Linked DNA regions of Coturnix japonica. The protein of the gene in region 1 interacts with the protein of each later gene in a biochemical or structural test. Links are inferred from orthologs where the notes say so. Each region holds a gene or a part of one and is shown in the gene's direction. Other genes may lie near its edges.

Evidence for each region. The genes of interacting proteins can lie anywhere in the genome.
Region 2: the proteins of SNW1 (region 1) and PPIL1 form a complex in vitro, tested with the Homo sapiens proteins (2 studies listed by IntAct, with this or other methods). The link is inferred for Coturnix japonica from reciprocal best matches to the Homo sapiens genes SNW1 and PPIL1.

What each region holds. Positions count from the first base shown.
Region 1 is NC_029520.1:35,703,031-35,707,162, reverse strand, and holds the start of SNW1 (SNW domain-containing protein 1), read left to right. Parts: upstream 1-1,329; 5' UTR 1,330-1,434; coding exon 1,435-1,448; intron 1,449-2,013; coding exon 2,014-2,167; intron 2,168-4,132. UniProt on the Homo sapiens protein: Involved in pre-mRNA splicing as component of the spliceosome. As a component of the minor spliceosome, involved in the splicing of U12-type introns in pre-mRNAs.
Region 2 is NC_029541.1:1,560,107-1,563,749, forward strand, and holds PPIL1 (peptidyl-prolyl cis-trans isomerase-like 1), read left to right. Parts: upstream 1-1,465; coding exon 1,466-1,521; exon of another isoform or gene 1,522-1,539; intron 1,540-2,048; coding exon 2,049-2,203; intron 2,204-2,726; coding exon 2,727-2,795; intron 2,796-2,881; coding exon 2,882-3,105; 3' UTR 3,106-3,133; downstream 3,134-3,643. Other genes in the region: PSRC1 (proline/serine-rich coiled-coil protein 1), read right to left, coding at 1-87, 361-416, 1,255-1,512. UniProt on the Homo sapiens protein: Involved in pre-mRNA splicing as component of the spliceosome. PPIases accelerate the folding of proteins. Catalyzes the cis-trans isomerization of proline imidic peptide bonds in oligopeptides. Catalyzes prolyl peptide bond isomerization in CDC40/PRP17.

The sequences.
Region 1 (4,132 bases):
CCCCACTGACAGCAAAGCCAAGGATGAAGTGCCTCAACACTTTACTCACCATCCAGATTATTTTGGTCAACTTGTAGAAATTGATGCACGTGGAGATCTGATAGCATTCCTGCCCAGGAATGCTAAGCAAAAAAAGATAATGGTAAAAGAAAAATGAATGAATCTTTCTTTCCTAAGGATACATATCGGGATACATATCCTTGGGAAAAAAAATGGGTTTAAGGATCTCAGATCCATCCCTTGCTTATTGTTTCTTCTTATCAAAGAAGAATTCACCAGAGCTGGTATATCTGAATTATTACTAAGTCTGGTGCACACAAAGCCCAGAACAAACTAGGGGATACATGAAGATACATGGAAATGATCAGCTCACAGAGCTGGGAGTTTTCCAGGACAACACATTCTGTACTTAACCTCCGCTCCCACTTCACAGAATCACAGCATCACAGAATCGTAGGGGCTGGAAGAAACCTCCAGAGATCATCAAGTCCAACCCCCCTGCCAAAGCAGGTTCCCTACACCACGTCACACAAGTAGGTATTCAGGCGGGTCTTGAATATCTCCAGAGAAGGAGACTCCACCACCTCCCTGGGCAGCCTGTTCCAGTGCTCCGTCACCTGCACTATAAAGTTCTTGTGCCCATCCATGTGTAACTTCCTATGCTCCAGTTTCTGGCCGTTTCTCCTTGTCCTGTTTCCACACACTGCTGAAAAGAGTCTGGCCTCGCCGCTTTGCCTCCCACACCTCAGGTATTTATAGACCTGGATCAAGTCCCCTCTCAGTCTTCTTTTCTCAAGGCTAAACAGTTTGCTTAGTCTCTCCTCATAGGGGAGATGCTCCAGGCCCTTCACCATCTTTGTGGCCCTCCGCTGGACTCTTTCCGAGAGATCCCTGTCTTTTTTGTACTGGGGAGCCCAGAACTGGACACAGTCTTCCAGATCATGGTCTGTTTGAGTTTGTGTTTGCCTTACAGGTTGTGTTGCAAAACAGACCCCAAAGCTGTGTGTTTCCCACACAGCAGTAGATGATACATCACAGCACAGGAAGAAGTAGGAACTGCAGGAGGGAGAACAAGTCATTCCTCAGCTCCAGATAGGAACAGGGCTCCTGACCGGGAGCAGCGCTGTCACACAACACCAAGTCTGCTGAGAAATGACTGACAGGAAACGGTAGGAGAGATGGCAGATGAGCTCTGCTCGTGACAATTATTGATAAGCGATACATGTCAAAGTCTCGTATCCTCGGCTTTGTCTGCAGAGCTCCCAGTTGCCCTGGACACAAGGTGACATCTCAGTCACCAAGGCCATCGCCCATCGCTGTGACGCTGTGCCTACAACTCCCAGCTGCCCGCTGCGGCGCACGCGCATCGAGGCGCTCGTCCTTCCCTGTGCCCCCCCCCATCCCGCGGCCTAACTCCGAGTCGGCAGCGGCAAGATGGCGCTCACCAGGTGCGTCCCTCTGTCCCCCCGCTCCGTCCTCGTCGCTGTTGGTGTCTGGGGAAGCGCTGGGTGCTCGGCCCGGCGAGCGGCCCCTCCTGGGTGCGGGCCCACGGTCGCTGAGCAGCCCGGGGTGCGGTGTGCTGAGGGCCGGGCCTGCGGGAGCTGCCTGCGCTGCTCGCTTTGTGCGGCCTAGAGCGCGATGGGGCCTCCGCACCGCTGCGTGCTGCGGGGAGCTAACGCGGGTTTTGTGAGGGGAAGGATTGGTGCTGGTGGGATACCTGGTCGCTTTCCGGCTTTTCCTTCCCGTGAGGGATGTCTTTGTTACGAGCTGCTGCTCCGAGAGCGCGGCTCCGCGGCCTGCCCGGCTGTACCGAGCGGGGACGTGAACGCCGCCCGGCAGCGCGGGGGTGGCGGTGTGCAGTGCGCCGGGTCCGGACGGGGGAGTTGGAGTGTGTGGCTTTAGACCGGGGGTGTCCGGCTGGGGAGAACCACTCACGGGTTCGTCTGTGGGAATTCGCCTTTTTCAGAGCTGTTTTTTTATGTGTCTTTTTGGTGCCTGTCTGGGGACGTGCAGTTTTTTGCCAGCTCCAACCCAGTTGTCCCAAGACCAGCTCGAGCTAGAAGAAAGAGCGAGGGCGCAGAGATCCAGGCAGACTGCTCTGGTCTCATCACGAAGGGAGCCTCCCCCATACGGCTACCGGAAAGGATGGATACCGCGGACGTTAGAGGTAGGTGTTTAAACTCACCATATTATATTAGTACATCTGTGTTAGTGGGTAAAGTGTGTCTTTCCAGAGTAGAGTCAAACTATGAAGTTTCTTGAGATAATCACAGAGAATCGTGCAGGTTTACATGCAGAATTTCCAAGTTTCTTGTCATGGTAACGTGGGAATACGACTGTGGTCCTTTCTGTTTAAGGTCTGAATGTAGTGACCCTCTGAGAATGACACCCATACCAACCCTCTGTCATTATTTGTTAAATACATATCTGGATTAGAGGTGAAATAAGTAGATGGGTGTATAGCAGAGAAGAGAATACTTCTCATGTGTACTGTGTTCTTAAGGTAGCAAAAGGTAACTGCTCTTGGGGGGTGTTAAGTGATAGAAACTTGTTAGATGTGGGAGTGCTAGATAAGGTGACTTAAAGCAGTAGTTCCAGTGGTTCTCTAAAGTAAAATACTTTTATGGAATTTCAGCATTTAATAAAGGATGTGGTATTAAAATTTATAGTTCAGCTTTCTCCTTACAGTGCTCATTACTAAAGCTACTGTTCGAGTGCTTGTTCTAAATGCTGTGGGGGGGGGGGAACCTGACTTAACTTAGTTCTATTGGTTTCCAGTATCACTGGGCCAGAAAATGCAGCACATCTCAAAGACTTCTAGAAGATTCCCTTTTTGCCTCATAGACAAAACCAAAGAATAGTAATTGCTTGCAAGTATAGGCTTCATCTGCTTATCTACTCATAATTGAAAAACAGCATCTATTCTTAATAGATTTGGTCATGTAGAAAAACCTGAGAGATGGCTGAATTTAGTTCTGCATTATATTTCAGCACTGATTCTGTATCTAACTGTTGAACTGGATGCGGGGCATCCAATGGAAGACTTTAAACAACCGAAGTTGAATTTCAGTGTGCACTTGAGGCAAGCATGAATATGTGCTGCTCTGGAAAGAAGTGTTCTGCCCGATGATTCCAGTCTCAGCCCATGCTGTCTGTTGTAGTGGTGTTAACTGTTTGGTCTCATGGTGAATACGTGGGGATCAAGCTACCCAAGTCACCTGGTTTGCTGTTGGGCAAAATCAAAGCCATTGCAGCATGGTGAAAGGGCACAGTAGTGTTGATTAGAGAAAATGCTTCCCCTGGGGTTTTGAAACCATAGCCTGAAATTGGTTTAGCGATTGTGTGCCAGTTCTGTTTGCATCTTCAGTACTGAGTCACAATGGTCTGCTTAAAGAGGTCTTCCATTTATTCTGCTCCTTAAATAGTTTTAAAGCAAGAAATTGAACAAGAGGAAAAGTAAACTGTTAGGAACACGAAGCTATTGGTTGCTTGTCCTGTTTTCAAGTTGTGTCAAAATAAGGAAATCGATATCTTGGCATTTGTACCATTGTAAAGCTGTGAGCTGCAGGCTTGAGAGGGCTGGAAAGCTTTATAAATTTCTTCACCTAATTATGGTAGGATAACTAAAATTACAAGAATAGCAGTTTTGTGATGAAAATCTCTAGTGGTTAATTTTTGTGTATTTCAGCGGTTGCTTTATTGCTGCAGATAAATTCTAGAAGTTGTAATTAATAACCTGCATGTGAATTAAATACTTGATCATTTACCGCCTGTCATGCTGTAGTGCCTGCACATCCAGCCAGTGATAAAAGAAGTTTCTCTGTGAAAGGAATAATTGTAGAGAGTTTCCTGCAGGATGTCTTTGTATTTCCATTTCACAAGTGTAAGCTGTAGTCAGCTGTTCTCTTACAAGCCAGAACAGTAATGCTGCTAGAGCATTTCTAGCAGTGTTTCATGTTAAAATCAGTCCACTCTTTTGTTCCATTTCCACCCATGCAAATGTTATGACCTGGTCTAGTACCTGATCTGGAGGGTGGTGGGCCCTGCCTGTGGGTTGGAACTTGATGATCCGTAGGGTCCCTCCCAACCTAAGCCTTTATACAATTCTGTAGTTATACCATGTTTTTGTCTT
Region 2 (3,643 bases), on another chromosome or scaffold:
ATCTCCTCCAGCCCGGCCCCGCTCAGGGGGCTCCAACGTCCATTTGTGCCCCCTGGGGGGGGCTCGTCATCATCATCATCCTCACGGCTGGGGGTGAAGCTCAGCGTTAGCCCAGCCCAGGAGCCCCACGCTGGGCAGCAGGTGACACATCATGGGCCGACACCTGTCCATGTTATGTCACCCCGTGTCCCCATCTCACCTGTCAGAAGGGGACAGGATGCTAAAGTCCAGCTTCTCCTCGGTGATGAACTGGACATCTGGGGGCAATGAGGGGGGGACATGAGGGGGACACGTAGGGGGCCTCCAGACCTTATGTTAGAGGGCACAGAGGGGCTCCCCGTGTTGGGGACAGAGCCCTACCTCGCTCCTCCATCATCGCACCCGGTCAGCGAGCGGCACCAGAGCCCATGGGTGACCTGGGTGTAAGCAGGGTGACCCCATATCCCCCCACCCCCCTTAATGTCCCCATTACGGGCACAGCGCCCACTGGGGACTGTGCCAGCACCGGGTACAACGGGGCTTTGTGGCCATGGGGACAGCACGGGGCAGCACGCGGGGGGGGGGCAGAGACCCATAGCTGGGGGGCAGCTCTGCACCCCACAGCACCACAGCCTGTACCGACGGGCTCCAGCCTCACACCCTGACCCCTATGGACCCCAAACCACAGGGGTCCCAGCCCCACAACCTGGGGGTCCCAGCCCCACATCCTCCCCATGCTCTATCACAAAGGCAGCTCCCAGCCCACACCCCAATGGGCCCCCAGCCCCACACCGGGATGCTCCCATCCCCATAGTGTTATCCCAGCCCTTCTGCCCCATCCCATCCATCCCATCCCATCTTTCCCATCTCCCATCTCCATCCATCTCCATCCATATCACCATCCATCCACCCAATCCATCCAGTCCCATGCCCATCCATCCCATTCATCCATCCCTCCCATCCCATCCATTCCATCTGCCAACCATCCCATCCCATCCCCAAATCCCACCCATCGCCATCGCATCCTATCACCAGTCATCCATCCCATCCCATCCCATCCATCCCATCCCATCCCATCCCATACCCACACGTCAGGCCCCCAATGCCTACAAGGCCCCACAGCCCCCAACCTGGTGGTCCCAGCCCCACTCCCCCCCATCGGGATCCACCCCCATCCCGTTACATCCCATCCCATCCCGTTATGTCCCATCCCGTTATGTCCCATCCCATCCCGTTACATCCCACCCCCACACCCCGCCCATTCCCTCCCATTACCCGGTTCACTCCCTCCCGTGTTCGCGGCGCTTCGTCCGTTCGAATTCTCCCTCCGGTCCCACAATGGCGCCCGTCCCTCCCTCCCGCCGCGCTGATTGGCTCCGCCCACAAGCTTTGCGCGATGCTCATTGGTCGCTGGATGGGAGGGGGCGTGTCACCGGAAACACCGAGTCTCCGCTTCCGGCGCCGGTAGCGATAACGGCGGGGCAAGATGGCCGCCGTGCCGCCTGACTCATGGCAGCCACCCACCGTGTCCATGGAGACCACGTAAGGGCAGGCCTTCCGGTTTGGGGATACCCCGAGACCCCCCCCCGGTACCGGGACACCCCTCCGCTGTTGGGCCTACCGTGTTCCCCTTACACCGACATCCTTCCGGTACCGGGACCCCTTTGTGTCCCTCCTCCCTCCGGTACCAGCCCCCCGGGCTGTCCCGGTTCTTCCATCCGGGCCCCTTTTACCCCCCCTCCCCCCAGGACACCCCATTCCCCCCCACCCCAATACCGGCATCGCCCTCCGGTACCCGGAGCTCCCAACCCCGGCAGGTCCCAATACCGGGATCCCCTCACTCTGCTTCCCGGCCCCATTAACCCCCCACAACCCCTCCCGGTGCCCCTATCACCGACCCCATTACCCTCATAACCCCCCCAGCCCCTCCCGGTGCCCCTATCACCGACCCCATTACCCCCACGGTCCCCCCTGGCTCTCCCGGTGCCCCTATCACAGCCCCTCCCGGTACATCCCCCCATCTCACCCCGTTCCCGTTGTGTTCCCGTTATGTCCCCGTTGTGGTGCAGGATGGGCACCCTGGTGCTGGAGCTCTATTGGCGTCACGCCCCCCGGACCTGTAAGAACTTTGCCGAGCTGTGTCGCCGTGGGTATTATAACGGGACCCGCTTCCACCGCATCATCCGGGACTTCATGGTACAGGGAGGAGACCCCACCGGGACCGGTGAGTGCACGGACCCCACGGCCGCCCCATAGACCCAAATGGGACAGCGGGGGATCCACTGTCCTGGTATGGGGCCATTGTGACCCTCAGCTCCGTGATGGGATCGTCAGGACCTTCACAATGGGGACACTGAGACCCTAATGATGGGAGCACTGTGACCCTCAGTGCTGTGATGGGGACCCCTGCATTGTACGGGGGATGCTGGTACCCTCAGCCCTGTTGTGGGGTGGTCAGGACCCCCAGCTCAACCCTCAGCCCCCCCATAGTGATGCTGGACCCCCTAATAGTGATGCTGGACCCTCTGGTTTCACGATTGGGACCCTCAGCCCTATGATGGGGCCATGGACATCCCCAGTCCCACAGTGGCAGCACCACGACCCCCTAACAGGGACACTGAGACCCTTATCTCAGTGCTGGGGACACCCCCTGTATATAGGGACACCCCCTATTATATATGTAAGTCTTTACAGTGGGGACCCCATAGTGTGGAGCCACGATCCCCTATTGATCTCCATACCCACAGGCCGTGGCGGTGCCTCCATTTATGGCAAACACTTTGAGGACGAGCTGCACTCGGAGCTGAAATTCACCGGTGAGTCCCCAAACCCACTTTTATCCCTCCAAAAACCCTATAAACCCATCAAGCCCATTCTTATTCCTCCCTCCATCCATCCCCAGGCGCTGGCATTCTGGCCATGGCTAACGCAGGACCCGATACCAACGGCAGCCAGTTCTTCATCACGCTGGCACCGGCGCAATGGTTGGATGGCAAACACACCATCTTTGGGCGCGTGTGCCAAGGGATCGGGGTGCTGGGCAGGGTGGGCATGGTGGAAACCAACGCACAGGACCGGCCTTTGGATGATGTTAAAGTGCTTAAAGCTGTCCCTGCTGGGGGATAATGGGAATAAAATGGCTGTGGGGACGGTGTGTGGGGGTGTCTGTGGGGTGTTTGGGGGTGTGGGGTGTGGAGGAGTCGCTTCTGGGGGCACAGATGTCACCATTAAGGGCATGGAGGTGTCACATGTGGGGTGTGGGGGTGTCAGCCCTTTAGATGGCACCTATAGGGGCATGGAGGTGTCACCCTTAGGGACACAGATGTCACCCATAGGGGCATGGAGGTGTTGCCTTTGGGGACGTGGGGATGTCACCTATAGGGCATGGAGATGTCACCTATAGGGGCATGGAGGTGTCACCCATAGGGACACAGAGATGTCACCTATAGGGCATGGGGCTATCACCCATAGGGACACAGAGATGTCACTTGTAGGAGCATGGAGGTGTCACCCATAGGGACACAGATGTCACCCATAGGGGCATGGAGGTGTCACCTTTGGGGATGTGGGGATGTCACCTATAGGGCATGGAGGTGTCACACGTGGGGTGTGGGGGTGTCAGCCCTTTAGATGTGGAGATGGCACCTATAGGGGCATGGAGGTG